Lytechinus pictus: one gene and its partners. The protein of the gene in region 1 interacts with the protein of each later gene in a pairwise test. Links are inferred from orthologs where the notes say so. Each region holds a gene or a part of one and is shown in the gene's direction. Other genes may lie near its edges.

The links.
Region 2: the proteins of coiled-coil alpha-helical rod protein 1-like (region 1) and heat shock factor-binding protein 1-like interact in binary tests that used the Homo sapiens proteins (3 or more experiments, as listed by UniProt). The link is inferred for Lytechinus pictus from reciprocal best matches to the Homo sapiens genes CCHCR1 and HSBP1.
Region 3: the proteins of coiled-coil alpha-helical rod protein 1-like (region 1) and SWI/SNF-related matrix-associated actin-dependent regulator of chromatin subfamily E member 1-like interact in binary tests that used the Homo sapiens proteins (3 or more experiments, as listed by UniProt). The link is inferred for Lytechinus pictus from reciprocal best matches to the Homo sapiens genes CCHCR1 and SMARCE1.
Region 4: the proteins of coiled-coil alpha-helical rod protein 1-like (region 1) and abscission/NoCut checkpoint regulator-like interact in binary tests that used the Homo sapiens proteins (3 or more experiments, as listed by UniProt). The link is inferred for Lytechinus pictus from reciprocal best matches to the Homo sapiens genes CCHCR1 and ZFYVE19.

What each region holds. Positions count from the first base shown.
Region 1 is NC_087259.1:8,053,567-8,061,059, reverse strand, and holds the start of coiled-coil alpha-helical rod protein 1-like, read left to right. Parts: upstream 1-4,488; 5' UTR 4,489-5,008; coding exon 5,009-5,066; intron 5,067-6,926; coding exon 6,927-7,053; intron 7,054-7,493. Other genes in the region: probable palmitoyltransferase ZDHHC24, read right to left, coding at 3,088-3,939. UniProt on the Homo sapiens protein: May be a regulator of keratinocyte proliferation or differentiation.
Region 2 is NC_087246.1:49,267,116-49,274,874, reverse strand, and holds the start of heat shock factor-binding protein 1-like, read left to right. Parts: upstream 1-4,754; 5' UTR 4,755-4,887; coding exon 4,888-4,956; intron 4,957-7,023; coding exon 7,024-7,090; intron 7,091-7,662; coding exon 7,663-7,759. UniProt on the Homo sapiens protein: Negative regulator of the heat shock response. Negatively affects HSF1 DNA-binding activity. May have a role in the suppression of the activation of the stress response during the aging process.
Region 3 is NC_087247.1:14,971,891-14,978,817, forward strand, and holds the start of SWI/SNF-related matrix-associated actin-dependent regulator of chromatin subfamily E member 1-like, read left to right. Parts: upstream 1-3,917; 5' UTR 3,918-4,042; intron 4,043-5,580; 5' UTR 5,581-5,598; coding exon 5,599-5,656; intron 5,657-6,927. UniProt on the Homo sapiens protein: Involved in transcriptional activation and repression of select genes by chromatin remodeling (alteration of DNA-nucleosome topology).
Region 4 is NC_087251.1:11,212,162-11,219,631, forward strand, and holds the start of abscission/NoCut checkpoint regulator-like, read left to right. Parts: upstream 1-4,468; 5' UTR 4,469-4,659; coding exon 4,660-4,791; intron 4,792-7,470. Other genes in the region: blastula protease 10-like, read left to right, coding at 1,199-1,331. UniProt on the Homo sapiens protein: Key regulator of abscission step in cytokinesis: part of the cytokinesis checkpoint, a process required to delay abscission to prevent both premature resolution of intercellular chromosome bridges and accumulation of DNA damage.

The sequences.
Region 1 (7,493 bases):
CGTAACTCTGCATAAAAGCCAACCTTCCAGAAGTCAAACAATCGCTTTACTCGAAGCATCATTGCAGAACAGAATAAGCAAAACGTGTCTATTTTACATCTTGAAAGTCAAATTTCTCCTAGGTCAAACAGATTTCCTGGGTGCCAACAGATTTGACCTTAGAAGGGTCACCTGCAGTATGTTTACACTGAAATAATCATTGGGTTAACCTACAAATAGCACAACCAATGTTCATTGCATAAAGTAATATTGGATCAAATGCTTTTATATAAAGACTATCTATACAAAAGTAAAACGGCTTTGAGAGATATATATTTTAGAGTAAATTGCAATAAATCAAAGGAGAGGTTCGGTGAGTGGTATCGTACTGTCTTCATTAATTTTTATGGCAATTGCATAAATGTATCAAACAATACATATAAAAAGAAAAATATTAGGCTCACATCCCATTGTGCTAATGTCGAATGAAATCTGTATCTAATTCTTATTGCATATTTTTCTATAATACTTACAATTTACATTTTGTGTTCCGTTCATGCTAATGTTTTACAGAGAAATTTCCATATATTTCATGATGTCTAAGTAGCGTAAAAAGTGATTTTGATTCAACACTTTTGTATAACGATGATTCACTTTATGATTCTCATGTCAAAATGGTCAGTAAACATATTGACTTAATTTATTTTGTACATGTAGGTCTCCAACTCTTTACATACGGTATATATCGATAAATATACTAGCATTTAAATTCTGACAATGTTAAAATTTAAGTGAAATGTCTGCTTTTATTTTAGTACATACCATATTATCTGCCAGTAAAGTAGTAAGCAAGAGTCCATCATCTATTCTAAACAAGAACTTACCCTGCATTTTGCATAAGGTGGGTTTAATTGCATACAAACTTCTCCACACCATGGCATTACAAATCTACTTTCACAAATTTCATCCTAATAAGTTGGTGGAAATTGGATTCTTCCTGCATATACATATATTCTGTATAGAATCATTTTTTTCCTCCTCTAATTTTCAACTAACGTATGTGCAGCACCAAAGAATCTAATAGGTTAACAGATTTTGTTTTTTGTTCTTTGTCCAACTGGGTACCTACATAATGTACAAACTGTCTACCTAATGTACCAAACTAATCATCCGTCAATCTAGAATCTAGATTATTTTTTTCAATACTTATCAATATATATCAGAAATCTGTTAAATTTTTACACAAACAGCATACTTGTATAATTGCTTATCTTGTACAACTGCAACAGCTTTGGCAAGTCTCTTATAAATAATTGACATTATGTATGGGAGAATATAAGTATAGCAGACACAATAGTGCTCCTCATACTTGATCCTTTACACCATCTGCACAAAAGGTTGGAGATTTTGATTTACCTTTCAGTACATCTGACTTTAATAGTGGAGGCATGTTATGGCAAATTAATAGCAACATCGATCTGGCGCTGCACAGTGGCTACCGGGCCCACAATTAATTGGGCAAAACAAATTATATTCAGAGGATTTTTATTTCAAACAATAAAATCTGGATTTTCTGAACAAAAAATGTATTAGAATCCTAACTCTAACTCTATGCCCTCTGAGATAATAAGACTGGACCAAATGTCGCAGGAGCAAATGCCGTGACGCCCCAAGAGAAGGAGTACTTCTATAAGACACCACACAGAATCGAGGCAAAAAAGAATATTGCATGTATGTCTACATTCCAATATCGTGGTATAATCACTACTGAATTATCAAAATCTGAACATATTGGTACATTCTAAATATTAAATTCTGTGTAAATTCAATAAGCCAGCTGCAAATCAAGAATACTGTTTTATGTCCAAGGTATATATGGAAACCAAAACGAAGCACAATTACATGTCACTATTCAAACAAATATGAAATACTGATAATTCAATTGTAAACAATGATTAGGAAGATGATAATAATAATAATACTACTTAATGATAACAATGAGAGATCTAATCAAAGTCAGAGACACATCTTTCATGCTGGAATTTCCCATCTCTGTTTCCCATCTCTCAGATGATATCATTGCATTATTCACAATTTTCCCATGTAATGTATGTTAACTTTGTATGTGCCTCGTTTTGTTTTTTATAATGAATGGAATAAATGCTATCAAATCAAATCCAATCTATTCTAATCTAATAGCTAGATGTATCTGCAGGCAAAATAATACAAAGGAATGTCACCAAGAAAGATATATTGTTCCTTTGAACCTGCCTACAAAAGCATAGCCTAGTGTCTTTCATGAATGGCGGTTTCCTTGTTTGTTTTGTCTGCTGTTTTATATGGGAATCCTATTCGAAAGATGGCTCTGAATTTAGGTGAGGGCTTCATATCAAAAACAAAAAATGATAACATTGATAATGAATAATAATTTAGCAGTGTGAATAGCCGAGATATCAAGCATTGTCCCACTGGTGTAAATTCAAGCAGTGAACCTATTGATTGACCAAGGGGGAAGGGGGGGGGGGGAAGTGAACTATTGTTTCATCCCCCAACTTGAATGGTATGGCATCATGTATTAATACACCCATGATTGTCTCTAACTACATACGGGTCTTTGCTTTAAAAAAATCCCAACTTTTCAATGTCATAACATTGAGAAGGTATTTACCAGTATTTACATGAACCACCAGTTTCACATTTTCCCGATCCTGGTTTACACCTCTCTGCCTACAACTCTGCAATCTATGCCTTCCCATTTGAGATGAGGATGCAAAAGCAGCACAATATAGTTTGCCAAGTTCTATAAATGCACACAAAGTTAATTGTACATAGATGCTGATATTACATCTTCAATAATTTACAAATAATTGAAATCCAGAAAATATCTGCAACGTGACATAATACATTTTAAGTAGTGTTGACAGAAATTTCACGATATTATTAGTAGGAATTTGACAAATCAATGAATATTGAGGCAATTTCATATGATTTGTACGTAATAAATACAAATGGTAATTAATCAATACAAAAAACATCATTGCAAGTGAATTAAAGTTTAAAAAGATCTTCTGTCACTGTAGAATGAAATGAAAACATGTGTCAGGTTTGTCATATATCTTTCACATTCTCCAAATTCTTATCTCTCTTCACAAAATGGATGCCATCCCCTGGCAGTGGGGATGAGATCCACGGCCACAACCAAATCAGGTACCACCTGGTCCCGAAGACGTCCAGCAGGTTCTGACACCAACCTCGGTTGTACCGACGGATCCCTTTCCGCCATTCTCTGGTGGTCTGCCCTCGAAGGATGAGCGCTAAATGGTAGTAAATCATTCCCAACGATAACATGAGGCAAATAACACAGGTGCTACACTGGAGGCAAGTTAGGAAGGAGAGAGACTGCGTGAATCCAAAGATCCATCCAATGACGGGAGCGAAGAACGTAACGACCACTCGCCAATTGAGGCTGTTGAGCATCTCGTACGTGAACTCAATGTTCAGGTAGTTGGCGTAGAGGGCGCCAAGCGCAAAGTACACCAGCATCATCATGAAGTAGCGCTGGTTGTTGTGTCCTACGCATTTTCCGGTGTACAGGCAGTGGTGGTCACGCTTCAGGACACAGATGTTGCAGATGAAACAGTGGGATGCCCGAGGGGGGCTGTTGATCATGCAGGTAGGGCAGTAAGTCCAGTCCGGTTTTAGAACCGACGGGAGGATATTTGGTCCCGATGTCAAGTCAGTGGCAATGCTCAGGTAGAAGTTGCCGATGAAGTTGAAGAAGAGGAAGAGGCCGATTGATAAATGGATGTTGTAACTCTGGGAAAATGGCTCAAAGAGGGTTGGAAATACTACATATAACTCAAAGAAAATCTCAATTATCAGCTCCAGCAGAACAAAGGCCACAGGAATCTTGTCACCAGTTTTCTTTGGTATGAGTACGTCCCATTTTATCATGGCCATGATATTCCTGAAGCATGGATAGGTGATTTAGATGAATTTTGAGCTCATCTGACCTCTAGGGTTTCTAAGAAAATATGGAAAATGAAAAGAAAGTCCAATAGTCAATAGACTAATTACAACAATTCAGATACAATGACCTAAAAGTAAATTTGAATTTCAGATATTAGTAAGCATCACTTAAAATCTTCCCCTTCTTGCATGTGATATTTCTGAATTTCATCACCACAAACTTCACCACAAACATATTGTAACAGTGTATATCAGTTGAATGTAAAGTGCTGGCACTAGTACAATTTGCATTTGACTCAGATTTTCAGGGTTGGGTTTCAAATTTCATTCAGCCTTAAAATTAAGTAAAACATGTTAAGGATTAGACTTCGTTTGGAGTTCAGTGGCTAGAACTAGATTTTTAATTTAGAAAAAATATTACTTAAGAGCCAAGTTATATGATGGATAGCTGTAATGGAAACTGGCAGTGTCAAAAAATCAAGCATAATTTGTCCCCAAGAAAAAGAGAAAATAAGCCAAAGCCCCAAAATTGGCATTGCTAACCTTAATCATTTCATCACAAAGAGAACAAAGTCAAAGAACAGTTATAGTACATAACCTTGTTCATTGTGAATGAGTGATTAGATTGTGACTGAAATTACTACAACACAACAACCAACCTGCGAATAGCCGCTGATCCTCGAATACCAGGGGAAGAACAACAAAGAAGAAGAAGAAGACTGATGAAGTTCAGACTCAGAGTTCGTCAAAAACTCGCACAATTCACAATGATGACAATCATTTGAATACTGACACGTATTTTAATACGTGGGGCAATGCTTAATTTCCAATGAATTCTTTACAAATTATTTGGGGAATATGAATATCGATTCACTCCAATTCGTTCTTAAATCATAGACTTTATTAAATAAAATGAAATTTAATGGTTTACCTCACCAACTTGTTCAACAACTCCGTCTGATGTCCGTCAAATAATTCTTAGACTTTCATTTTAAGCCCGCTCGTCGTTGACTGATGTCGGATGATCAATGAGAAAAGGCGATGAAGCTGAAACAAAATAATGGCGGGACCTTTGAAAAATCCGGCACATTTCATGAAACCCCCTAGCTATGGCGTTGGTAAGTATAGTAACAACATTATAAACCAGTTCATCATATTTCATGATGTTTTTTTTATTGAATGTTTTTGCTCGTTGTATGTGAGAAACTTTTGAAAAGTTCGTGAACTGAGTAGCGACTTAGTGCCATAGTGGGGATGTTGGCAGCCGCTCTGGTTAAGCAGCAAACCAGCGCCCAGCCTCGACCCGCCGCCCGGCCCCCGGCCCGGCCCGGCAGCCGGGCAGGGCGAAAGATTTGAGTTCTGAAAAGTGGGAGCGTTTCATCAACATTCTTGTCTGACAAGTTGTCAGATCTGACATCTTTCCTTAATACTGATTGGCTGAGAGTCTCTGTTTCTATGGTAACTGTCGGATAAAATGGGACTTGTCGGATAAAACTTCCGGCAAATCCTTTTTTAAGGCTTTAGTTTCATGAAACGCTCCCCTGTTCTCTCATGGTATTTATAATTAAAGTTAGATGGCAAATATAGCGATCTTCAACGCTTATATAATAAAGCGTCAAAATTTGTAGCCATCTCCTTGCATTAGTCTATATTATACGATGTGTCAAACTGAGCCTACTCTCCCGCGCATATCGTTTGTAATACGTAATAATTTTAATGCGCACAAGGTGGTCGGTTTCAAAAGAGGTGGTCGATATGTGGTGGTCTCACTATAGTATAAGGTACATAGACCGTGTAATGAAACGCTCGGGAAGAGCGCCCTACAGCGTTGAGTAAGTAACTACCTTTTTGTATCGCGAGATGGTTGTGTACAAAACATATGAGAGAAATGGTGAAGGGGTGAAGAAATAGACGATTTTTACATTTTATAATTTTTTCATTCAATTTTTCCCCCTTAAATTTGAGATGAATATATTTCAGAGGTTTCTTGGTACTATTAAAACATGGAATTATTCCCATGTGAGCCCTCTCCAAACTCCCCTCTCTCATTTTCCCCATATGTTTTATACACAGTCGCATGCCGATAAGCGAAGGTTTACTTACTCAACGCTGTTGGGCGCCCTTCCCCATAAGCATTTATCGAGCATTTCAAAAAATCGTCGAAGTGTCCGATCTTCCCCTTGTACTAGTATCTTTGATACTGAGAATGAGATACCGGTACTCCTAAGAAAAGAATGTAACATTATGACATTGATCACCATGCACCACAAGAAATGAAAGTGATGCAAAATAGAGCAGGAGCAAAATAAAAAATTGAAATATGCATAAAGGTCTATAGATCTACCGTAGAATCTATTTCCATGGATTGAGATCTTCTCAAGTGATGGAACTGAACCTAGCTGCATGCTGCCCCTATTCAACCTCTTGGCTAGTAGGATCTTCAATATCAAATGATTAAGATTTATTGATACACAGCCTTAACACAGATACACATAATATGCTTTCACCATAAATAATTGCTAAATACCATTTACAAAACATTAAAATATATTTAAAAAAGGCCGCAGAGCAACCCTGTCCTTGTATATGTATGCAAAATGAAAATTTCTATACACTAGTTACAAAATAATATCTTCTTGTCACATTGCATTTTGGTATAAATATGGAAAGTTTTATAATTTACCAAAAGAATAATCTTTTTTGACTGAAACCTTTTTTAGAAAACACATACATATAGTTGCCTTTTGCCTCTAAAAGCCCTCTATATCAATTTACTCTTTGAAAATTGAATTCCCTTTGGGAAGTGTTGCATTTCTATAGATGCGAATGAAGTCTTGTAAAATTATGAGTGTGTTATAGATCTATTACGCATTGTTGGTTGTTAATTTTGATACAATTGCTGATTAAATGTCATGTATATAATTTCCTAATTTTGAAGCATAATTAAAGTATATTTTTTGACATTTACCTATTTTTAGGTGGACCATCTTACAAGCTGCTGCCCCCATCAGCCCTAACAGTCCCAGCCAAAACAGCACCCAAGGTCACTGGAGTCTCAGGAGAACCAACAACTTCTCCGAAGAAAGCTAGAAAACAGTCCCCTCGGTAAGATCGTAACATTGATGTCTTTTATTCTTGGCTTGTTGAAGATTGTACTTACATGTACAGTGTATAATAAACAGCTGTAGAAATTGTTGATTTTTTTTTTATCGATTCAACATGCAACATTGATTCATTCTTAACAATTGAATAAGCCAGTATGTGTTCTAAAAGTCCTTATTTCCACTAAAAGTATTAGACTCATTGTTCAGTGCGTTATTTCTTTGATGATAAATATACATACACAATGAAGGGATAACACAGACATGAGAAAGATGTTATTGTGAGCTATCAAATTCTTTCCATGATATCACGGAAGAGTGTCATTTGTGACCTGCCACCCCAAGACCAACAATACATGTAAGGTACCCAAAATGAATTTTATTTTGAGATTTTCATTGAGCATGAATAAGCACACTTAAAAGTTGTAAAAATAAAATATAACT
Region 2 (7,759 bases), on another chromosome or scaffold:
ACTGAAGTCATATAGGCTTTCATGGCGAGGTTCATGGATTTTCGCTGATGTGCGACTGGATGTTTACACACAAAATATGTATATTACGTCACTTTACATGCCTGCACGCATCCATGCAAAGTACAGCAAAGCGAGGAACAATTTCTTCTAGACCTAGGCCCTATGTATTTTTTTGACATAAGCCTATATAAAAATGATCTATTTTGCTACTGGCACTTTTTCAGAAGTTATGGAATTTCTGTAACTTTTAAGTAATTTCATGTTTTAGGACTTGAGGATTTATTTTTATGTATTTTTCATGACAAATTAAGAGCTTTCTAAATTGTTTTGTGCTCTATATTAGTTTTTTTACTATTAGTTTACTCAACAATGTCATGAACTGAAGCAACCAGCTGTAGATCTCTGGGATCAGCGGAGGAAGAAGAAAGAAGAAGAAGCAACAGGCCCCAACTAAGTTAACGTTAGCCAGGAGGCTCCTAGAGAGTAAAAATCATTTACTATTGATGCTTACTCTCCACAGAGCCAGGGATTCTATTGCATTTATCTATATATACCGCCAAAAAAACCCCTCAAACTTTCGCCCCCGAGATTTCTACTTTCCTTCTAAAAGATCTAGCCCTAGATCATCTAGATGGTATACAACTTCATTTCCGACATTTCTACGCTAACGATTTCATTTTTAAACAAGAATTCATTACGGACGCGGCGTCCGTATAACGTTAGCGATCAACAATGAGAAACAAGATGGCGGCGTAAACATTCGGGCAAGTCTCCCCCGTCTTTTCATAATATTTTTCTCATTTTTTTAATGAATTCTTGTTTAAAAATGAAATCGATAGCCAGGGCTCCACACTAACCCTTTTTTCTACTGGTCCGACCTGATCATGTCGGACCAGCACACACCCAGTTTTTCCATTTTTTACTGGTTGAAGTACTGGTCCCCAAAAATAAAGAAAAATATAAAAAAGACTTGACTTTATTTTGCTGTCTTTTATTGCTTATTGTTACCCCTCCCCCCACAAAAAAAACAGTACACACACAACATGATTCATGAGAGCCAATTTTTGAGACGCCAGAGCCATTTTTATTTTTACAAAAGAGAAGAAAATATATTTTGTATCAGTTAGATGTATAATCTTACTGGTCATGTCGGACCAGCAAATCTGGCTTTTTCTGAAAAGTTACTGGCCCAACAGCAATTTTTACCCGTCTGGGACCGTCGGACCAGTGCCAGTGTCGCGCGCTGCGATAGTGTAGAAATGTCGGAAATGAAATGGTATCCCATTTACCAAACCAAAAGCTTCAGTCTCTGTATTTTGGTTGTTCCGCTGAACTACGTTGGCTTCACTCACCAATACATAGACTGAAGAGTTGTTGGCCCGTATGTATAGACAGTGGTATACTGAACTAACATTTTTATAGGTCGCGATTTAAAACTGTTTTTAAGCAAAATTTACAGTTTCATGGTTTCCATTGCCAGGGAAATATAAATAACTTAAGTAATTGCGTACCTCTGGATGATTGAGAAATCTTTCATCTAAGACATTTTCACGGCAAGACGACCAAAAACAAATGTCATTTTAACTTCTACGGGCATTATGTCCGGGGGTAATGTAGGCGCAAATATTTTTTTTAATATGTTTTCTTTTATTCTCCCTCCGTCCTATCCCCACACCATTTCCATTAATTTTTTTTGAAATATCGAAATGGACGGCACTATCTCCCTGACCCCTCATGCTTTCTCATTATAGATAATTAAACAATATGAAAACAAATTTCTTTAAAAGAAATTATGTAAGGTAAAAAGTGTTTATAACGTTCAGCAAAAAAAAAAACACGATACAAAACTAAAATGTTAAACATATGGTAAATCATTCATTTATTTTTATTTCGTTTTCATTATAATTATCTTTTTTTTGCTGAGATTAATTTTAATCAATGAAAATTATTGTCGGATTTGGGATAACTTGAGATGTGAAACAGTGAAACAAAACAAAAAATCTGCAGTAACAAAATAGCTTATTGAATTTAAGATACAGATTAGGCCTATAGCTTACGAATCCATCACAATTATTACAAATGAAGATAAGCTAGTTCATTAAAGAAAAGATTATGGAAAGTCCATACGAAGAGGCGCATTTTAAATCGTAGGGTACGTAGGCCCTTTTCGGCCCCTATGTAATGTTAAAGCAATAATGTAGTCTCTACTCCTCAACTTTGAAATGATGAACATATATATATTTTTATATTCTTATATATACTTCCATAGATTAAGTGATCAACTTTAAAGATGACCAACGTTTATGATCATTGTAATATTCAGCATTATTTCTGTAAATAGTATTTTTTCCATTGCGGATTGCACACCTTTTTCTGTTTTAATTGCAAAGCACTACTTTATCCACTTGGACATGTTTGCAGCAATTTTCACATTTTCCTTGTCTTCGGTTACCCATCATGCAACTGAGGTATGTTTATACTCTAAACACTCACATTTGTATTTTTTGCTTTATATCTGACAAAAAATAAATAAATTAGATTTTTCACAGGCAGCCTCTCATATTTTCCTTTTTAGTCTCATACAATCAGACACTGTTGATTTTGTTTACTCCATTTAAACCCTACTTTTACCTCAACATATAACATATTAACGCATAATTTGCAAAATCATCAATATATATAGGCCTAGGCCTATGTATTCTATAAAAATACAGAATATTGAACTAATAAAATGTCGAAATTACTTAGACTTAGTTAAATCAATTTGTATGTCGGACAAGGGTCTCTTTTGTTGAAATATCAATGAAAGGTGTCTCTAAAAGGACACCGTGTTCTAAATAAGGGAAATAATGAAAATTTCGATTTTATCCAGTTACATTTGTGAATCTTGAAAGATTTTTCTCTTTTTACCTCATGATAAAGTAAGCTCCATACATCAATTCTACAATGAGTAATATTTCACTAATAAATAAAACATTATTTGATCTCCTTTTATTGAAATATCTGATTTTATGAAAAGTCGTCATTCCGAAATAAAAGGTTCAGGTGACGATGAAGACTAAATATTTTTCCGATACTATCGATATCAATTCAAACGATGTCGCGGACTTGGAAGACAAAATTGCCTTCGTGAAACGGAAAGCGCTGATTTGTCGCCAATCTTCCTATCTCAGAAGAATGGTCCTAGGACGTTCCTACGTATCGCTCATCTCTTCATGCAACAGGCCCCAGTATGTTTTGGATGTGTCGTGTGTGTCGCTAGCCAGGCGGCTTCTAGAGAGTAAAAATCATTTACTAACGTAAGGTCACTCTCATGAAGCCAGGCCTTCTATCCCATAGACCCACACAATGGAAGCCAAAACCTGAAACTTTCACCCCCGAGATTTCTACTTTCCTTCTAAAAGATCTAGCTCTAAATCATGTACATGGGATAAAACTTCATTTCCGACATTTCTACGCTCTCGTTGTTATTTTTAAAACAAGAATTCATAAAAAAAATGAAAAAATATTATGAAAAGACGGAAGAGACTTGCCCGATGTTTACGCCGCCATCTTGTTTCTTAATGCATGTATTGTACTTCCCCAACGTTACGGACGCGAGCGTCGCATAACGTTGGGGAAGTACAATAAGAAACAAGATGGCGACGTAAACATCGGGCAAGTCTCTTCCGTCTTTTCACAATATTTTTTCATTTTTTTGATGAATTCTTGTTTTAAAAATAACAACGAGAGCGTAGAAATGTCGGAAATGAAGTTTTATCCCATGTATACCCAGTGGTTGTGTGTCCGGACGGGTTGGGTGTCCGGACACATGACTTTTACTCTCAATTTTGAAAAGTTTACAAGCAATGTCTTTAATTCTTTTTAGCACAGAATATAAGAAAATATTATAAAGAACAAATATTGATGGTGAAAAAAAACTATTCAACCTATATTTTTGGTTTATTCCTGAGATAAAAACAAGGCTTCATTTCTGTTACGTGTCCGGACACCCAACCCCCCATCTTACATGATTTAGACTAGAGCTAGGCCTAGATCTTTTAGAAGGAAAGTAGAAATCTCGGGGGTGAAAGTTTCAGGTTTTGGCTTCCATTGTGTGGGTCTATGGGATAGAAGGCCTGGCTTCATGAGAGTGACCTTACGTTAGTAAATGATTTTTACTCTCTAGAAGCCGCCTGGCTATGTGTCGCGTGAATATCAATATGTATTATGACTGATATTCCTTCGCACGCGAGATGATATGAACCCATGTGTGGGCCTAGGGCGGCTAGCGGCTGGGCCAGGCAGCTTTTGCGACTAATGTTCGATGAGGCGCGATGAACTGCAGCAGGACGCGGCCCGGCTGCTTGCCTTCGGCCCACATTCGGGTTAATCCATTTACAATCTAAGCCTAATAATTTACTGCATAAACACATCTACCGAACACAAATATTTTCACTTAATCTTACTTTTCATTCGAAGAGAATTGAGTGATTTTTCTTCCAGTTTGGGTAACACGGCTCAGCAAGCTAGCATAGGTATACCGCTAGCATAGCAGCAGTAGCTAGCAGCAGCGTCTTCGTCTCTAGGCACTTTCACAATTATTATTACAAAGTTATAATAAATTGCCTCAAATTGTATAAATTTTTATCATATTTTATTTAATAAAAATTAACAAAACAAATTATATTTATTTGATATTTTCCCACTGTATTCAAAACACTTAAAATAATATATAAATCTTTCAATTTTTTTTACAGATCTCTATCCCGGAATCCCATCAAATTATCATTTGCGATATATATCGATACCGAACTACCAATTCACGATAGACTGAAAATATTTTACGGGTCAAATATAATTAGTCAAATACTTCTATTTTGGGAGGTCGTCGCTTTACTATTCAACATGACTGATACAAAGCAAGATATTACAGATCCTGCTGATGGGAAAAATGTACAAGACTTAACACAGTTTGTGAGTATCGAAGGGGGGGGGGGGGACCTTTTCTAAACTAGGTGGGTCTGGCACACAATACAGGGCTCGTGAAGTCATTGCCATTACTGGCGATCGCAATTTCTTTGCATACATTTCAAGGGGGGTTATCACAATTCTGTGATATAGGCCGAGAACTCCAGTCAGGGATTAGTCACATATATCAATTGCATGGGAGCCAAATCCCGGGGTGTAGCACATTAGTTATTCATAGACTTACTTTATCTTGTTAATCTGACCATCAATGTGTGATTCTAAGTCCTTTCTATTGAAAAAAAAAATGGAATTGTAATTGTAAAATACTAAATGTAATTTGACTGAAATTGAAAATTGCCATTGGCAATGGTTGATAATTGTTTAATTTATTGACAATGTTGTTGAGTCATGCATGAGTCATTGCTATTCATTGGTATAATGTGCATGAAGAAATTGGCCAGGAAGCGTTCGGAGAGTGAAAATCGTTAGTGATATTTAATTTAAAGTTCACAGCTGTTAATGTCTTTTATAACAGTCAGTGACTGTGCCCATTTATCAAAACTGGGTGCCATTCCCCCTTAAAACTGCTGTGCCCCTTTTTCACTATTTCATGTACTGTATGAGCTTTTAGTTTTAATGTTATTTTCGCGGATTTCCCGAATTGCCAATCGGCCGCGAATGTAACAACACGCAAAAATATTGACACATTTAATGATTTATTAGTCAGTGCCAATATCCCTAACAGCAAAGCTTTGCTATTGAAAACATTCTGTGTGGTGATAATGTGTGTGTGTATTTGAGTTTTGTCAGACATATATCAATCAGATATGATTATTTACGTCTGGGACCGATCTTTAACGTCACCATCCGAAAGACGTGACCAGGGCTCGAACCTCGAACCTCTGCATCAATTTGTAACTTCCCCACAGCTTGGATTACAGGCGCACGCCTCAACGCCCAGTTGTGAGATATGCACCTCTATATGTACAAAAAATTAGGTTTAGAAAGTACAGTTAGTGATTCAAAAAGTTAGCTAGAATTTCACTTTTTTTATATTTCTCAAACAAAATCAGAGCCTAAACTATTTTCTCACGTAATTCTATCGATATTTATTCACTCACTTTAATATTGAAATGTATTTTCCATGAAATAATTCGATTTTATTGTCATCTGATTCTCCAATATACACACATGTATTGGCAGCTATTTGCATACTCATAAATATTCATAAGTCACATGACCAGAGCTTTTAGCGGTGTAAGATTCTGTTCACAAAATTCAACATTTTTGTTCTGAAACCAACTTTTTAAAAAGTGACTCTAACAAAACACAACTTCAAAAGATTACTCTTACAGATCAAACTGTGACATGATGAATTTTCAGATCTAAAGGTACAAAAAAGTGAAATTTAAGCCACTTTTTTCCACATTTTGTAACTGTTTTTACAGGGACATATTTATGTACTTTGAGGAACATAGTTTTGCACATGATTTGTATAAGTTTTGCTTCTTTGAAATGCTGAGGAAGTGTTTCATACATCTTCCGATCGTGAATTTAACAACCCGCGAAAATGTCGGGACCCCCGCGATTCGCGAAAAATTCTGTACGCAATAATAACGGCTTGTGCATTAATTCATTCTGTCTAACTGGCTACTGATAGAATAACTTTAATTTCAAATAAAATCTTATTTCAGGCAGATTACCGGAACTTTGGTATTCATTTGGTGTAGGTGTTTCCATTAAATATTAGATTTAGGCCTATAAAAAAATTTCCCTCATGAGCCCAAAATCAGAAAGTTGGGTCAGTTGATTTATTATTATTATTATTTGTTATAACATAACATACCTTGTAACATTCCTTATTGTGGGCGTAAATTTTTACCTAAAAAATTGTATTCCCCTCTCCTTCCAATTTCTTGAAATCAATAGTGGAAGATAAACTAGTACTGGCTACATGATGACATTTGACTGCCAGCAGAGAAACTTTAAATGTTTCATTTTAAAGTTATCATACAATAAGACCATTGTCTTATTCTTGAGCATTTTATATTTATTGTTTTTACCATGGCACAGGTACAACAACTTTTGGAACAAATGCAGAACAACTTTCAAGCAATGTCTGATCGCATCATAGGCAGGAATATCCTTTCAAATTTACTTTGTTGTCAACCTTACCTCCTCCATGCTACAATTAGATTCTGATGAGAAGAGATATATCATTTATTGAAAATCTATATCAGTTTTAAAGTTTTGATGCAATCAGGTCCTATTCTAACATGCTTGTGATTTACATCTTTGATTTCTTTATCTTAGTTTTTTTTTCTTATTCAGTTAAAAATGTAAAATTTTTATTTTTTAAATATAATATCTGCAACCACAGAATAATTTGTTTCTTGTGTTTTTTGGCTAAAATATGTCAAGTGTTTATGATATTATGTGTTAAAGAGGAGGAGGTGATCTGAATACTACATATAGCTTCTATATATCTGAATATTGCCAAAACATAATTGGTAATTTTTTATTTAAAAAATAATGAAATTGTGAACCCCATTCCATAGTATTTTAACATTTTTTTCTCAGTAATTGCACACCAGTATAAAAATGTGGGATATTATTAAATTCTGGGTAGGCAACCCCTTTAACATCCTTAAAACCAACTCCTGCACTAAAAAATGGTTGAAATTAGGTTCCTTGACTGCTACTGATCTTCACTAGATGAGATGGGAAATCGCATCGATGACCTTGAGAAGAGTGTGGCTGACCTTATGATGCAAGCTGGAGTGGATGATTCTGAGAAGGCAGACAAATA
Region 3 (6,927 bases), on another chromosome or scaffold:
TATTAACATCGAAATATAGATATCATAATTTGAAACAAATTTTTTTAAAGACTTTTCAAAACTGTCCCGTTTTTTTATATACGCACTGTATGTGTATATGTATATATTTATAAGAAGACCTAAATCTTGAATTTATATTTTATATATATAAAAGGTGTGATTTTCTTCGGCAAATTATATGATATATTACAGTCTGGCATACATAAATGCTTCTGATGACCACTTCGCTTCGTGGTCATCAGATGAGGTTACACGTCCCACATGCTCGCACTGTTACTTATCAGAAAACTTTTATTCCTGATGCCATTAGACTGTGGAATATTCTCCCTGCCATTACAGTTAACTGCACTTCGGTAGCTATAGCTTCAAGGCTGAGGTGCAGAAAATCCAATTGCGCTAAGACTGCGCTGATTTTTTTTTTTTTTTTTTTAATTCTACACGGTACGATGATACACCAACCTGGTGGACTGTACGGATGATGATGATAAAATAATGTTGGAACGAAAAGAGATTACGATGGGGAGAATGAGGAAGCAAGGGCTGATGGAAAAGAAAGGGTATATGGTATAGGTTAGGAAGTAGAGAGGAAAAAGGTGAGAGGGGAATATAGATAAAGAGGAAGAGAGGGGGGTGAAGTATAAGGAAAAGGCCCGGGGAAAAGGGAAGTGGAATCAGTCCTTACGCCAACCTGAACAGCATAATAATGCCAGGAAAATTTATAGCAAATAATTATCTCTGGATGTCCAACAATCATATTGGGGAAATTGGAAATTCAGAATGAGAATGAAGTGGAATGAAATAAATTCGTTATCAATCAATCAATCAATCAAGTGTCATGTCGGTCCACTGTTGCTCACTCTTTGCATTGTAGATCACGTATGATCCAATTAGTGCTAATTAATTTACTCATTGTAAGGATAACATCTTTGTATTTCCTTGAACTGTCTTAACTTGCTGTTATTGTCTCTATTAACCACCCTTCTACTTCCGACTTCAAAACATATTAGATGCGACTCATAATTCTTAGATAATGATGTCCCTATTCAGTTGAACGTACCTCACTTCCTTTCATTCTCTCACCAATGATTACCAAGATATTGACTGATTATGATGATTTATGAAATAATTTATTGAAAAAAAATGAATGTTTGGTTGATCACATCGCACATTGAATGAGTTGATTTATTAATTAATTGTTGATTAAAAATTAATGATTGATAGGTAAGGTTGATTCCCCAATTCAGAATTTATCATCAAGTCAACATCCTGCTCTGGACTTCATGCGTACATGTAATAGCAATCAGTCTCTCAACAGGAGGTGAGGGCGGGAGAGAGGGAGGGGGGGGGGCTAAATGTTCTGTTGACCCTTCCATCAACCTCTTCTCCCACTCGAGTCCTATCTCATCCCCTATATTCTCCCGACTCTCATGATCACATTGCTGAGATCCACGTGATAAAGTTGAAATGCTGCCCCAAATTAAGTGCAATTTGTGTTCACTCATGAAATTTGCTTAACAACAAAACTAGTCACGGTTGATCATAAATTTATCACAACACCCTTAACCCTAAAAGGACTGGGCTATTTGAGACGTATCAGGGGTGGATCCAGCCTTCGCCAATTGGGGGGCGGAATTTTTTTCAGCCACATTTTCCCCGATCGGCCGCTCGAAGTTGATTTTTGTTTGTTTCTTTGAAGGGGTATATAGTCCTAAAAGTCACACAAGCTTTAATCTTATAAATCAACGTATATATATATAATAATCTCATAAACCTTTTAAAAAAGAGCGAGCGCGAAGCACGAGCTATTTTTTTAAATTATTTTTCATTTCATATATTTTGTCCTAAAATTAAAACATTCTGGGCTATGTTTTTTTTTATCCTAAACGAGATGTGTATCCAACTAAATAATTAATATACGTTTTGATCTGATAAAAAAAATCTGTTAACAGCTGCTTGCAGTTAGCTATGAAGACGTTACATAATAATATTGTTTCAACAATCAAATAATGCGAACGCGAAGCGCGAGCTGAAAATTTTGACATTTTCTACCTGAAGAATAAAAATTCTAAGCACATTTTGTAATCATGAAAAGAATAAGTATATAACTCAACCAAAAAAAAAAAAAGACATTTACACCTAAAAATGGGACACTCTATTCATGTTTTGTAAATCATGAAAAGGATGAGTAAAGCGAGCGCGAAGCGCGAGCTTAAAATATTTGATATTCCGATCTGAAAAAGGGTCAATTTAAGCTCTGTATTTCAAGCACTTTGTAGAAAAATGGTGAGGTGGATATGGATCACTGTTAAAGGAGAATGAAACCCTTGAAACCAGCTGAATCCATATCAAAGAGAAAAATCAAAGAAACATATTGTTGAAAGTTTGAGGAAGATTGAATGAATAATAAGAAAGTTATGAGCATTCGAATATTGAGATCACTAGTGCCATGTAGATCCTCCCAACGGCAATGCGACCAAGATCTGTGATATCACACACGTACAACTCCCTCATTACTTTAGTACTTATTTCACTTATATTCTCACTTTTATAGAGTCTATCACAAGGTGAGGTGTTTTCTTTATGAGATGACAAGTACAGAGGTTTCACAACATTATATCATTGATGAATCGTTTGTCATATGATTAGAATGAGCAAAAAGAGATGTTTTGGGGTATATTTTCAGTGTCCAAATGGGAGAGTTGTACGTGTGTGACATCACAGATCTTGGTCGCATTGCCAATGGGAGGATCTCCATAGCATTAGTGATCTCGACATTCAAATGCTCATAACTCTTTTATTGCTAGTCCTATTTTACTCAAAGTTTTGTTGATCTTATTCTTTGATTTTGCTGCTTTCACAAAAGCTAACTTGCTCCAAGAGTTTCATTCTCCTTTAAATAAGAGCTGATGTGTTTCATTGTTATCATTTGAGTTTTGACATAAGACCGGGACATTCTGAGAACATTACTGTCATCATGTGAATGATAACTACCTTCCTATTTCCCTCCTAAGCGCGAGATGACACTTTTCGATATTCCATTCTGAAAAAGGGACAATTAATTTGATTATTAATATTATATTAATCTTATTTATTAATCTAATAAGCCTAATGAGAGCGTGAAATCTGTTAATATTATGGCCTGAAAACTGTACATTTAATGCACTTTTGTAATTATGAATAAGATGCATGTGTGAATAAAATTATTTTCAACAATCAATACGAGCGCAAATCGCGAGCCATAATTTTGATAAATTGTCATGAAATGGCAATTTAAGTAGTTTGTTATATAGAATTAATATTCGCTGATGTGGTTTACGTACGGTACACCATGTGGAGTATTATAGAAACAGTGGATAGAAGAAGAAAAAATAAAAAGAAAAAAGAAAAAAGAAAAGAAATGGATAGGCGAGAAAGTGGAAATTTGAGAGTAGAGTAATCTTTCTTGAATGTAGTCCTGAAAAGGACTGTAAACCAAAAGATAAGTTGAAACAGCTTATATACTCCGGTATACGAGTGTAGGATTGGAGCTGTGATTTTCTTCATTTCTTTTCTCTGTCATCTCCATCCTATAGGTTTACTTGCATACTAGTAGACCTATATATCTAACATATTTTCAGTAAAAGCCCTGGTTTTAATTTTTGAGACACACCTTCTCGACTTTAAATCCTTGTAGATAACCTAAAAATAAAAAAAAAATAATAATAAAAATAAATAGAAAAGAAAAAGAAGAGAAAAAGAAAAAAAAAGAATAAGAAAGAAATATTTGAATATTACTTTATAAAAAAAAAAATCAAAGAAAATAACGTTAATAATACAATATTTATGATGGCGAAAATAGTCAAATTGACTGATTGCCAAATAAAAAGAAGAACCCCCCCCCCCCTCTCTGTTTTGATCCTCCGATCTTCTTGGAAAATAAAACTAAATTGCCGTCTGAAAATTAGACTACATCGGGGAAGAATCTGCCGGAAAAAACTAAACTTGCCGTAAAAGACTTCTTTTTTTTCCACATTTGGGAGAAAACATATTGTTCTTGCTGTAGGTAAGTATATGTGTAATTCTATTCATTGTTAAGCAAACCTAAAATTGTTTTGATTTTATTGTGTGATGATGTAAAAAATGAAAATTATAAATAACAAATCTTTTTCTACTGTGCCATTTTGCTTTCTTTGTTCAGCAAGGCATCGCGTCGCCGCTTTGGTCCCCAGCACTTCCCGCATAGCGTCGCATGCAGACGTGGAAGTTCAAAGCGCCCTGCGTCGCGGGCTCGGCGATTAGTAAATAACGTGCAAGGAAGGTCGCCATGGCATGCTGGCGCTGATGCAGTTTCGCACCGGCCACTTTCAAACAACAAATTTCCCCACCAGTACCGTAAGTAACGGACTATAAACCGCACCCCCAACTACTTTGGACTAAAAAGAAAAAAAAAAAAAAAAAATCCTCACATTATATTTGAGGTACGAAGAAACAAAAACTAAGTCTAAGTTAAAGATTTCAAAGTATCCAAAGAGATTACCGGTATGCAGAAATCTGCTGTTCTTGATTGATTCATCTACAAATGTTTGCAAGAAAGAAAGGTCCCTACAATATTGGCCACTTACACAGTCACGGTGTACACACACACAGCACTGCCGTTCTTGTACATTGCAAACTACGATACGGTACCAGTGTCAGTACATCTTATCAAATAATGATCTGTGTCTTTCCCGCCGTAGGAGGAAGAAACATTCACATTTCTTGCATCACAAACTCACAATCACTTTCAGAATTTGTCTAGTATTCGATGTCTTGGCATGAATTTTGGATACGGGATTACAGGAAGGTTCAAGAAACAAAGAAATTGTCATTTTTTACAGTTGTTTTGACGGCTTCGTGCCGTCTCTCTCGTTGCGTGGTGTAGGTGGTATCTTATGAAAAGCAAACAGGAAAGAAAAAATAAGCTGGCGCGAAACGGGACTTTGGAGGGGATCGAGGGTTAAAATGAATAGCGCCAGCTTAAGTCGCACTGAAACCACAATACAATGCAAGCTAGCTCAGCTAACTCAACTCTTGCGCTCGATCAGCTGTGACAAAATATTACCGAGTATGCTTGGCTTCTCTTTGAACTTAGCCAGGGAACTTCGCTGCTTTGAACCGAGAATAAATTCGAAATTAGTGTCATGAAGGTGGGTGCGTTTGTTATAATCGCTTCTCATTACCCACAGCTCATTCCCCTCTAAACGACATTGCCCTGGGCGGCTACGCCTGGCCACTCGATGTGTTGTGAACTGGCAGAGGGGTTACGACGGGCTGGCTCAGACCCGTCACCGTGGATAAACCGCACCCCCGACTTTTGCTTCTATCCCGCCGAGAAAAAGGTGCGGTTAATAGACCGTTACTTACGGTTATTGCTTGCTCATGTCCTTGTCATCAGCTGTGCTGATGGTGATCGAGCGATCAAAGAAGAACCTGGCTGATCCTGATCTGTTTGTCTTCAAAATTCGCTTTCTTCTGGCATTACACAGGCCTATATGTAATTGTGCTAACCATTGATTGGTAAATATGAATGATCATAGATCCTGTTATATTTTTTTTTCATAGGTGGTTAGAACAATCAAGATGTCTGGAGCTTCCAGAAGGAGTATGGGAGGGTTTATGAATACATCCCTTCAATCCTGTAAGTGTTTGGCATGAAAATCATCTTTCTTGCAAGTGTGTAATTAGGTTTTTACAGATAAATTTTAATGTACATGTATGTACACCAGGGTCCTTTTTAAAAAAGAAATCTATTTTTATGAATTTGTCAGATCAATGGCACTTTGGCTTTCAACCAGTCTTATGAGGTGTTGCAAGAAACTTGTGATCAATTGCAATTCAATTTTTGGTCCCCAATCAATCATAAGTCTTGCAATTAATTACAAGTTTGTGATTGATTGCTATGCTAATCTGCTTCCTGAAAAAAAGAGTGTAATCTGATTTGCTACAGCTAAACTTGATCTATCAATTGTAAAATTAGAACAGAATATTTGCAAGTGATCGCAAATATTTTCTTGCAACACCCCCTTATAATGAAGATGAAGGAAGATGAGATGTACAGTTCGTATGTACTTATTAACCCTAAATAGACTGGGCTATTTCGACGCCTAAGAAGACTAAGCTGATTTGGTATAAAACATAAAGTCTTTTGTAACTCAAAACCAATCTGACTGGAGTTCTCAAGTGAACCTTTTTTATCACAGTCAAATCAAGACTATAGCCAGACAGTTGTTGGACAGCCTTAAATAATAATCTGTATGTTATAACTTGATTCTGAATTGGGGGAGTGGACAATTTAGTGAGAAGGGGGAATGTAGTAAATAAGAAACCCATAAAATGAGTGTGCATCAGAGGTTTAGCTAGAAGAAAAATGAGTAATACTTTCTAAAGAAAGTTGGAATTGGTAAACATATAGTTTCCTGTTATACTTCCTGCAGAAGAATTGATTAAGTATTAATTACATACATGTATATGTAGGTATTGATATATCAATGAATATGTGAGATATCACATAACACAATGATCATCAGTATTTTCAGAGTAACAGGACTCAGCAGCTAAAATATATGAAGGTTTCCATGGTAGTAGTTGAAATCCATGGCCTGGAATGGCCACTTCTTGGCTTAATTTGCATCCTCATTATACCAAAGTTACCTTGATCATTCATAATTAATAAAACGGTCCCCTTGGACCATGTGACAGATGTGACCTGTTTCAAAACTTCGCAGATTGAGTTTAAAAGCTTCCAAATGAATTCTTATTAAAATTGATTTACCTTTTTTTTTTTGGGGGGGGGGGTGGTAAATAACAGTGAGGAATTGAAGTGAACATGTATCTAAAAAAATATACATATGTCAAATCAATTATATGTTTTAATTTTTATGTCTGTGTGTATGAGTATTGTAAATCTGT
Region 4 (7,470 bases), on another chromosome or scaffold:
AAATCATATTTGTTCATTATTTCATACATGTGTGAATAATATGTCTCCCTTATAATGAAATAAGTTGCAGCAATAAATATCTAATGCACTAAATCAGTTGTCAATCCAATTTTTGTAGTTTTTGGAGGACAAAATTTGAATAAACCTAATTTCATATAATAAAATACAAAAGAACAAGTGGGGATGTGACATCATCAGCCCAACTAATGAATATTCATGACGACTGTTTTCACAAAATATTGCTAAACTTTAAAATTCAATAAATTTATTATTTGTTATCCGATTTTGATGAAATTTTCGGCCTGGACCATCCCTTTAAGGGGGTCAATTCAGGAAATCCTTGTCAAAAGTACCGTTTTGTTTCCAATACTTGTTAAGGGTAGGGTTTCACAGACCAATACTTGTTAAGGGGTGCATTTTCAGAACATGGAAAATACTTATTTGGGGTGCTTTTCGAAACCCCATGGTCACGCATGTTATCCACTCGTCGATGGAAGTGCCCCCCCCCCCCCCCCCCCCGGGCGCTAAAACAAGTTTAACGAAGCAAAGCTATCTTCAAAACTACATCGCGAGGTGGTTTTCTGAACCGGTTTGGAAGATCGCTTCCAAGACCGCTTCGACCGTTCTCATTACACCTTAAACTAGTTTCCAGTAAACTAGTTTTAGGACGGTAGTGAAAACGGTGTCTAAATCCCAGGGCCCCGTCTTACCAGAGTTGCGACTGATTCGATCAACCTCAACTATATGAAAATCCATCATTGTCACAATTTTTCCTATCAGAAATTTTCAAGACGTCCTTCGTAAACAAGGAGGAAGCACAACAAATTGTCAAGACAACGATGAATGTATATGGGTATCTAGGAAATATTTTGAACAAACATGCATTTTAGATATGGGCGTTGTTGGCTTTCCATAGTTGTGGTTGATTGGATCAATCGCAACTCTTTGTAATACGGGGTCCATGAATGTTTTATACCTTTAATGTTATCCTACTTTCGTTTTGCTGTGAACATTGTAAACGTACATTAATCTGAGCTAATCTATCTATTTGCCAAATGTTATTACTTGGTGTTAATCAATTTTATCAAGGCTATTGTTGCTTTGCACTTCAACATAATTCATGTTTCACCAAATGTCATCAAGAAATTCATAAAGGAATTGTATTATTATTTCACCCCCCCCCCTTCTTATTGTCCAGTCTGTCCGGACTTCATACCGATATGACCAAGCTGAGTTATCAGGCGATGGATAATATTAAGTTGACCTTCACGTCAGATAACTCTGTTGTTCAAGACGGCTTTGTAGCCAAGATTAAAGCAGTGAAGATATAATTGACAACAAGTGAAAGACGGAGGTACCTTCATGACTGAAAGGACGGCACTCCATACATTTCCTATTTTCTGTGGATGGGGGTTCTTTTCTTTTCTTCCTATAAACTTGATAAGTTTTATTGATGATGATGACGAGGATTATGATAATAAATAAGAAGAAGAGTGATGATTGATAACAATAATAATGATAACTATAATAATAATAACAATATTCAATCTGGCTTGATTGAATTTATCACTTTTGGAGGTACTGAGACCAAGGGGTCTTTGTCTCGGGTTTGACTCCCGGCATGGCACTCTTGTCCTAAGGCAACGCCTTTTTATCTAAGTTGATCGCACATTAAATAAATGGAGATTCTAAATGTATTTTGAAAGAAACGTGTGCACGTGTTAAAAAAATCCGAAAGTGAGAGCTACGACTTTCTAAACTTCTTTAAACCTAAGTATACAAACCAGCAATATTTTTTTCTGTTTCAGACATCAACTTCTTAATTTCGCCCGTAAACGAAGAAAAATATATTGCACATCGAATTGACTCAGATTCAGAGACATTATTTTGAATATAAAGAAAAAAATTGCATATCATTCATATAGCAATATTAAATTTTATTTGTTCCTATATAGGTGATCTATATCTAATTATATTGATACAATGTTTGTAATAATGGGTTTCTTTTCTTGTGGAATAAAATAACAAGTATCATGCACCGATGTTGTCTACCCTAGATATTCTGTTATGTGTTTATTGAGAGATGTGGTGGCGAACAACGACGGGCACGACTGGTATGTAAAGATCTGTTGTTTTGTGTCTGCTTGTCTGGTATCTTTCAAGTTATTGCAATTGATTTTTTTTTAAGTGAGTTGTTGATAGGAAGATTATTAATTTATAGTTTTCGGTGAATCTTCGGTTGGTCGGTTAATTATATTTTGTTTAAAAACATGATTGATTGATTGGTTGTTTAGATTAATTGATTGATTGATTGATTGATTGATTGACTGATTGATTGATTGATTGATTGATTGATTGATTGATTGATTGATTGATTGACTGATTGATTGATTGAGTGAGTGATTGAGTGAGTGAGTGAGTGAGTGATTAGTTGGTTGGTTGGCTGAGTGAGTGAGTGGGTAGGTGAGTGATTATAGTGTTTAGTTTGTTAGTTTATTTGTTATTTGGAACATTTGGTCGGTCAGTTGGCCGGTTTGGTATCTATATAGATGAGTGAGTCAGACAGTGGTACGTGGGATTGGTGGATATTTGATGGGTTGGTTGGGTGGGGTGAGTGCACTTGGATGATATAGTTTGTTGGCCGGTTGGGTGAGTGTACTTGGCTTGTCGGTTATTTGTGGATGAGTGACAGTCCAATGGCGTACCGTGGGTTACATTTATTTGCAATGGAACATTTTTTCGCGAACTTACCCAGCGAGTTACACTTTAAGACCGAGTACCGTTTAAGACCGTAACAATCCTTCATATTCCCGATGATTCTTTTTATTTTATTTTATTTTTTTTTTTTTTTGGGGGGGGGGCTGATTTCCAGTCGTAAATCACCCGGGGCAGACTACCCTTGCCCCTCCCCCGGCTGCCGCACTCGGAATGAGTCGGGGTATCAAGTTTCAATTGTTTAAAGATCCTTCCAAAACCCCAAAGGAGTCACAGGATACATACACCAATACAATGATTACATGAATAAGATACAGTTTTATCAAAGCCCTAAAGGACAAGTCCACCCCTCAAAAAAAAAAATTTGAATAAAAAGAGTAAAATCCATCAAGCATAATACTGAAAATTTCATCAAAATCAGGGATATAAAATAAAGGAAGTTATTATATTCCAAAGTTTCGCTTAATTTCACAAAACGGTTATATGCACATCCATGGTCGGCATGAAAATGAGGGGATTAATGACATCACTCACTCACTATTTTATTTGTATTTCATTATATGAAATATGGAATATTTAAATTTTCTCTTTATTGTCATGTGAAACAAAATCTATTCCTCCCCGAACATGTGGAACTACCATTTTTTAAATCATTTAGCGGTTAAATAGTCAAGTTGGTATATATTGTCAAACCTGTATAAATTGAAATATTGTATAATTCAAACAATAAGAAACAAAAGAAATAGTGAGCGAGCGGGACATTGACTCTCTAATTTGCCAATCACTGAGTTGTGCATATCACCGATCACTGTTTTGTGAAAAATAAGTGAAACTTTAAAATGCTGTATAGGCCTACTTTTTTAAATTTTACTTCCGATTTTGATGATTTTTTTTCAGCATTAGGCTAGTCTGAATTTACTCTATTTATTCAAATTAACATTTTTCTGGGATGGACTTGATCTTTAAGCAAATTAGGGAATGTAAACTTGGCAAATGTGAACATGAGTATGAATATGAACATGAGTTTAACGTACATTAAATGGGAAATACTATAACAAATGAAACAATAAAAGTACAAACATTAAAATGCAACATCAAGAGAAAACAGTTTGGCGAAAATAGTTTGACACCAGTGTGCATGGTGGAGTCAGCCAAGCTTTTCATGACATCAGATGGAAAAAAAAAGAGGGTGTGCATTTTTAGGCATGTTAGGACAATGTCGAAGAGAGAAGATCTTTATGGTTTACATTTTATAATAAGTCGATAAAGTCAATTAAAGACTTAACAAAAGTCACCACCAATCCCTGATTTACATAAAGAACATAACCCTGTGTCAGTCTCTTTCGGAGTTGTCATATTTACCAATTACAATGGTAGGTCTTGTGCTCCCTGTTCTAAATTCACATAAATGATGCCAAAGAGCGGGTGGGAGTTTAATCAGATTATTTTCCGAGTAGTTTTTAAAAATTCGATATTTCCAGGATGCGTTGGAATTTTGGATATCTTACTGACTCGAGGACCAGTTTTGGCGGAATTGATTATTAAGTCTTAAAATAATGGTGACTTTTATTTTTAAGTCAGTTTAAGTTTTTGGTGAACCTTACGAAAGAAAAGCCACTATGATCTAAAATATTGTGTACATCATTTAAGTCTACTTAACATAAAATGATGGATGTTAAAGTCAGTGACTAGGAATAATCCTACTCGAGCAAGTAACTGCATAAATGGGAACCAACCCAAGTCACCATAAATCATATAAGATGGATTTTTTTTTTTTTTAACGCGCAAAATGTACTTACAAAATTTCAGATGGAGTTTTTTTAATCAGAAAAGTATTTTTAGAAATCGTCACCCAATCACTGATGTGCACAATTCGCAAGTTCATCAAATAGTGATCCACAAACACTCACGGATGCTAGATGACTGTTCGCAAAAGTGACGAGGATGCGATGGAGATTGGTGATTGGTGAAGCTGATATAGCATGCAGAAAACGCTACTTCATTTCTATCGTACGGGGAACCATGGACGGACACTGTTTCGGCTGCGCTTCAAAGTTTGGATTTTTCACCAGAGAGGTAAGTTTGAAAATGTGAAATTGTGGGCATGATCAAACTCCAAATTGACGTTGTTAGAAGATTCTGAATAAAACAACGTTGGGCACGAAAGTGTCGAAACATACCTACATAGTTTCAGCAATTCACCATTTCAGGTCAATTATCCATATGTCCCACATACAGTTTTCTGCGTAAGTTCATGTATGAAAAACTATGTCTGATTGTTTTTATGATTGGAACCACTCCTAGTCCTAGTACCCATGAGGTCCAAACATTAACATGTATGGACCTCAGTCAAAGTCAAAGTTGGCGGTAGGATGGGGGGTCGGGTGTCCGGACACTTTATATTTTTGAAGCCTTCTTTTTTGTCTTTGAATTACACTAAAAATATGAATTCAATAGTTGTAATCATTTTCTATTTTGTTCTCTATAATATTTTCTAAAATTTTGTACTAAAATTTGATGAAACTTCGCTTGTAATTTTTTCCAAATGACTTTCTAAAATTGATCGTCCGGACACACAACCTGTCCGGACACACAACAACTGGGTATAATAGTCAAATATGACTGGTCGCCACTCGCCATTAATTTCCAACAAACAACAACAATCAACATAGGCGACATTACCCAAATTATGGGTTGGACAGTCATCACCCATGCCCATGGCTACCGGCTACATCTCTGCCGCCGACTACAGAATAATTGAAGGCACGGCGCATTCAACAAATAACGTTATTTTCCGAAAAATGAATACGAGGACTTACAGAATGAAGTCCTCCTACGAAACTTACCAAACGATGTGAAGTCAATTCCTCAATCCTCATAATTTGATGAATATCCCTCAAAATGCGTCATTTAAGAAGCGTTGATTTTTCTTCGCGTTGACAAAATACGAAAGTCACCTTTCTAGCTCTCAAATTTTTTGTCTAATGAGCGAAAGAGGGCGCGCGATTTATCTTCATATCAAAGACACTACAAGGGAAAGACTAGACACAAAAATTATCTTACACGTAAATCGATGCAAAGCGTTACGCAAAGTTGGCAAAGTGTTCAATCTTTTTACTGTAATTTTTGTAAAGACTTTGGTGGAACGTTAATTGACAAACGACTGGTAGCACTTGCGGGGCTTTGTTCAAGGTACATAGAATTTTCTATATTTTTTGTTTAATTTGTCATCGTTTTGAATATTTTCCAAAAAGTATAATCGTCAGCAAAAATAATAAAAAAGTATGTTTTTTAAGTTATTGCATTTATTGGGGTCTCTATTTTATCAAACAATTATTGGAATTGCGCATACAATGAATCATGAATCTAGTTTTAAAAAAACCACCAAGCTGAATTAAGGTTGTGAACTGTATTAGCGCCACCAACGACCTCCTTTTTATTTCCGTGGAAGAGACGTGCGAAGCCACTTTCCAGGCAGAGGTAAGCGATTTTGCTCTTTTTTGTGTCCTTTTAAATTAAAAAAATATGTTAAAAATTGAAAATGGAACGCTTTATACCATAAAAAGCCCTGGTGAGTAGCGGAATGGGTTTCGGCTAACATCATTCATGTTATGAAGCGATGTTAACAACAACTCTAAAATCCACTACAAAAACACGATGGTTGTGCGAGGTTCGTATAGAATATACTAACCTCGCAATAGTGTGAGTGGACAGTCATAGTCTTGAGGACTCCATGACCATGATGATGTCTTTAAAAAAAAAATTGACATATACTTCTTCATCATTGGAGTCTTGAATCCCCTCACATATCACCCATGGGTACATTACTGCCGCAGTGCACAGGATAACCACTGGCACAGCACTTGCAATAAGTATATGCCTATTTTGTTAAAATTAGAAATTGATCTATATTTTAAATCAAGTAAGCTTTGGTCTTTGGAAATGAAACTTACCAAACGATATGAAGCCAATTTCATTTCCTCTAGATCTTTCTGGTACCTTATATCGATGATTTTTCTTGATGTCGAAGCAGGCATGGAGCTAATTCGCTGGTTTTCTCTATACGCACAGAGAGGGTGCGCGATATTATTTAATAAACTTGCTTGTTTACGTCAGATCAGCTGTACTGCTGGTTGCGTTCTAGGCGCTCCGCATTTTTTTCCCTCTGTTTTTTTTTCGCTGTTCAGCATTATTTTATGATGTAGCGCCATCAGCGATTATGAAATGTAAAAGCATGGTACAATTTCCTATCATGCGCCGACGGCTTGAATCTAGACTGTTCGATAGGAAAAATTCGCATTTTGATTGTTGTTTGCGTAATTTCCACCGCAGTATTAAGGATCGGACGGAGTATCTTGGCTGAGATTTGGAGGTAAGCGTTTAAATCCCTTTTTATAGATACGTTCGAGCACATTTTTAAAATTAAATTAGATGATAAGATTTAGATGAATAAATTTAGTATATTCTGAAGATTTTGGCGTGTTTCATTCTCTCACATTCGTGTGATGAATGAAAACGTCAAAATTCATCATGAAATGACATGCGTTGTGCGAGGTTAGTACAACTAACCTCGCATGCTTGTGTGAGTGCTCCCATAGTATATGCATAAGAGAGACATGTAAACAAAGATGGATTTCCCTAGGAATCCATCTTTTTTATTAAAAATCATGTAAATGATCGTGATTTTATTATTCTCCACACCTTCCTACGCCTAATGCATGAGAAGGTTTAAAGAAATATTCAATTAAAATGTGA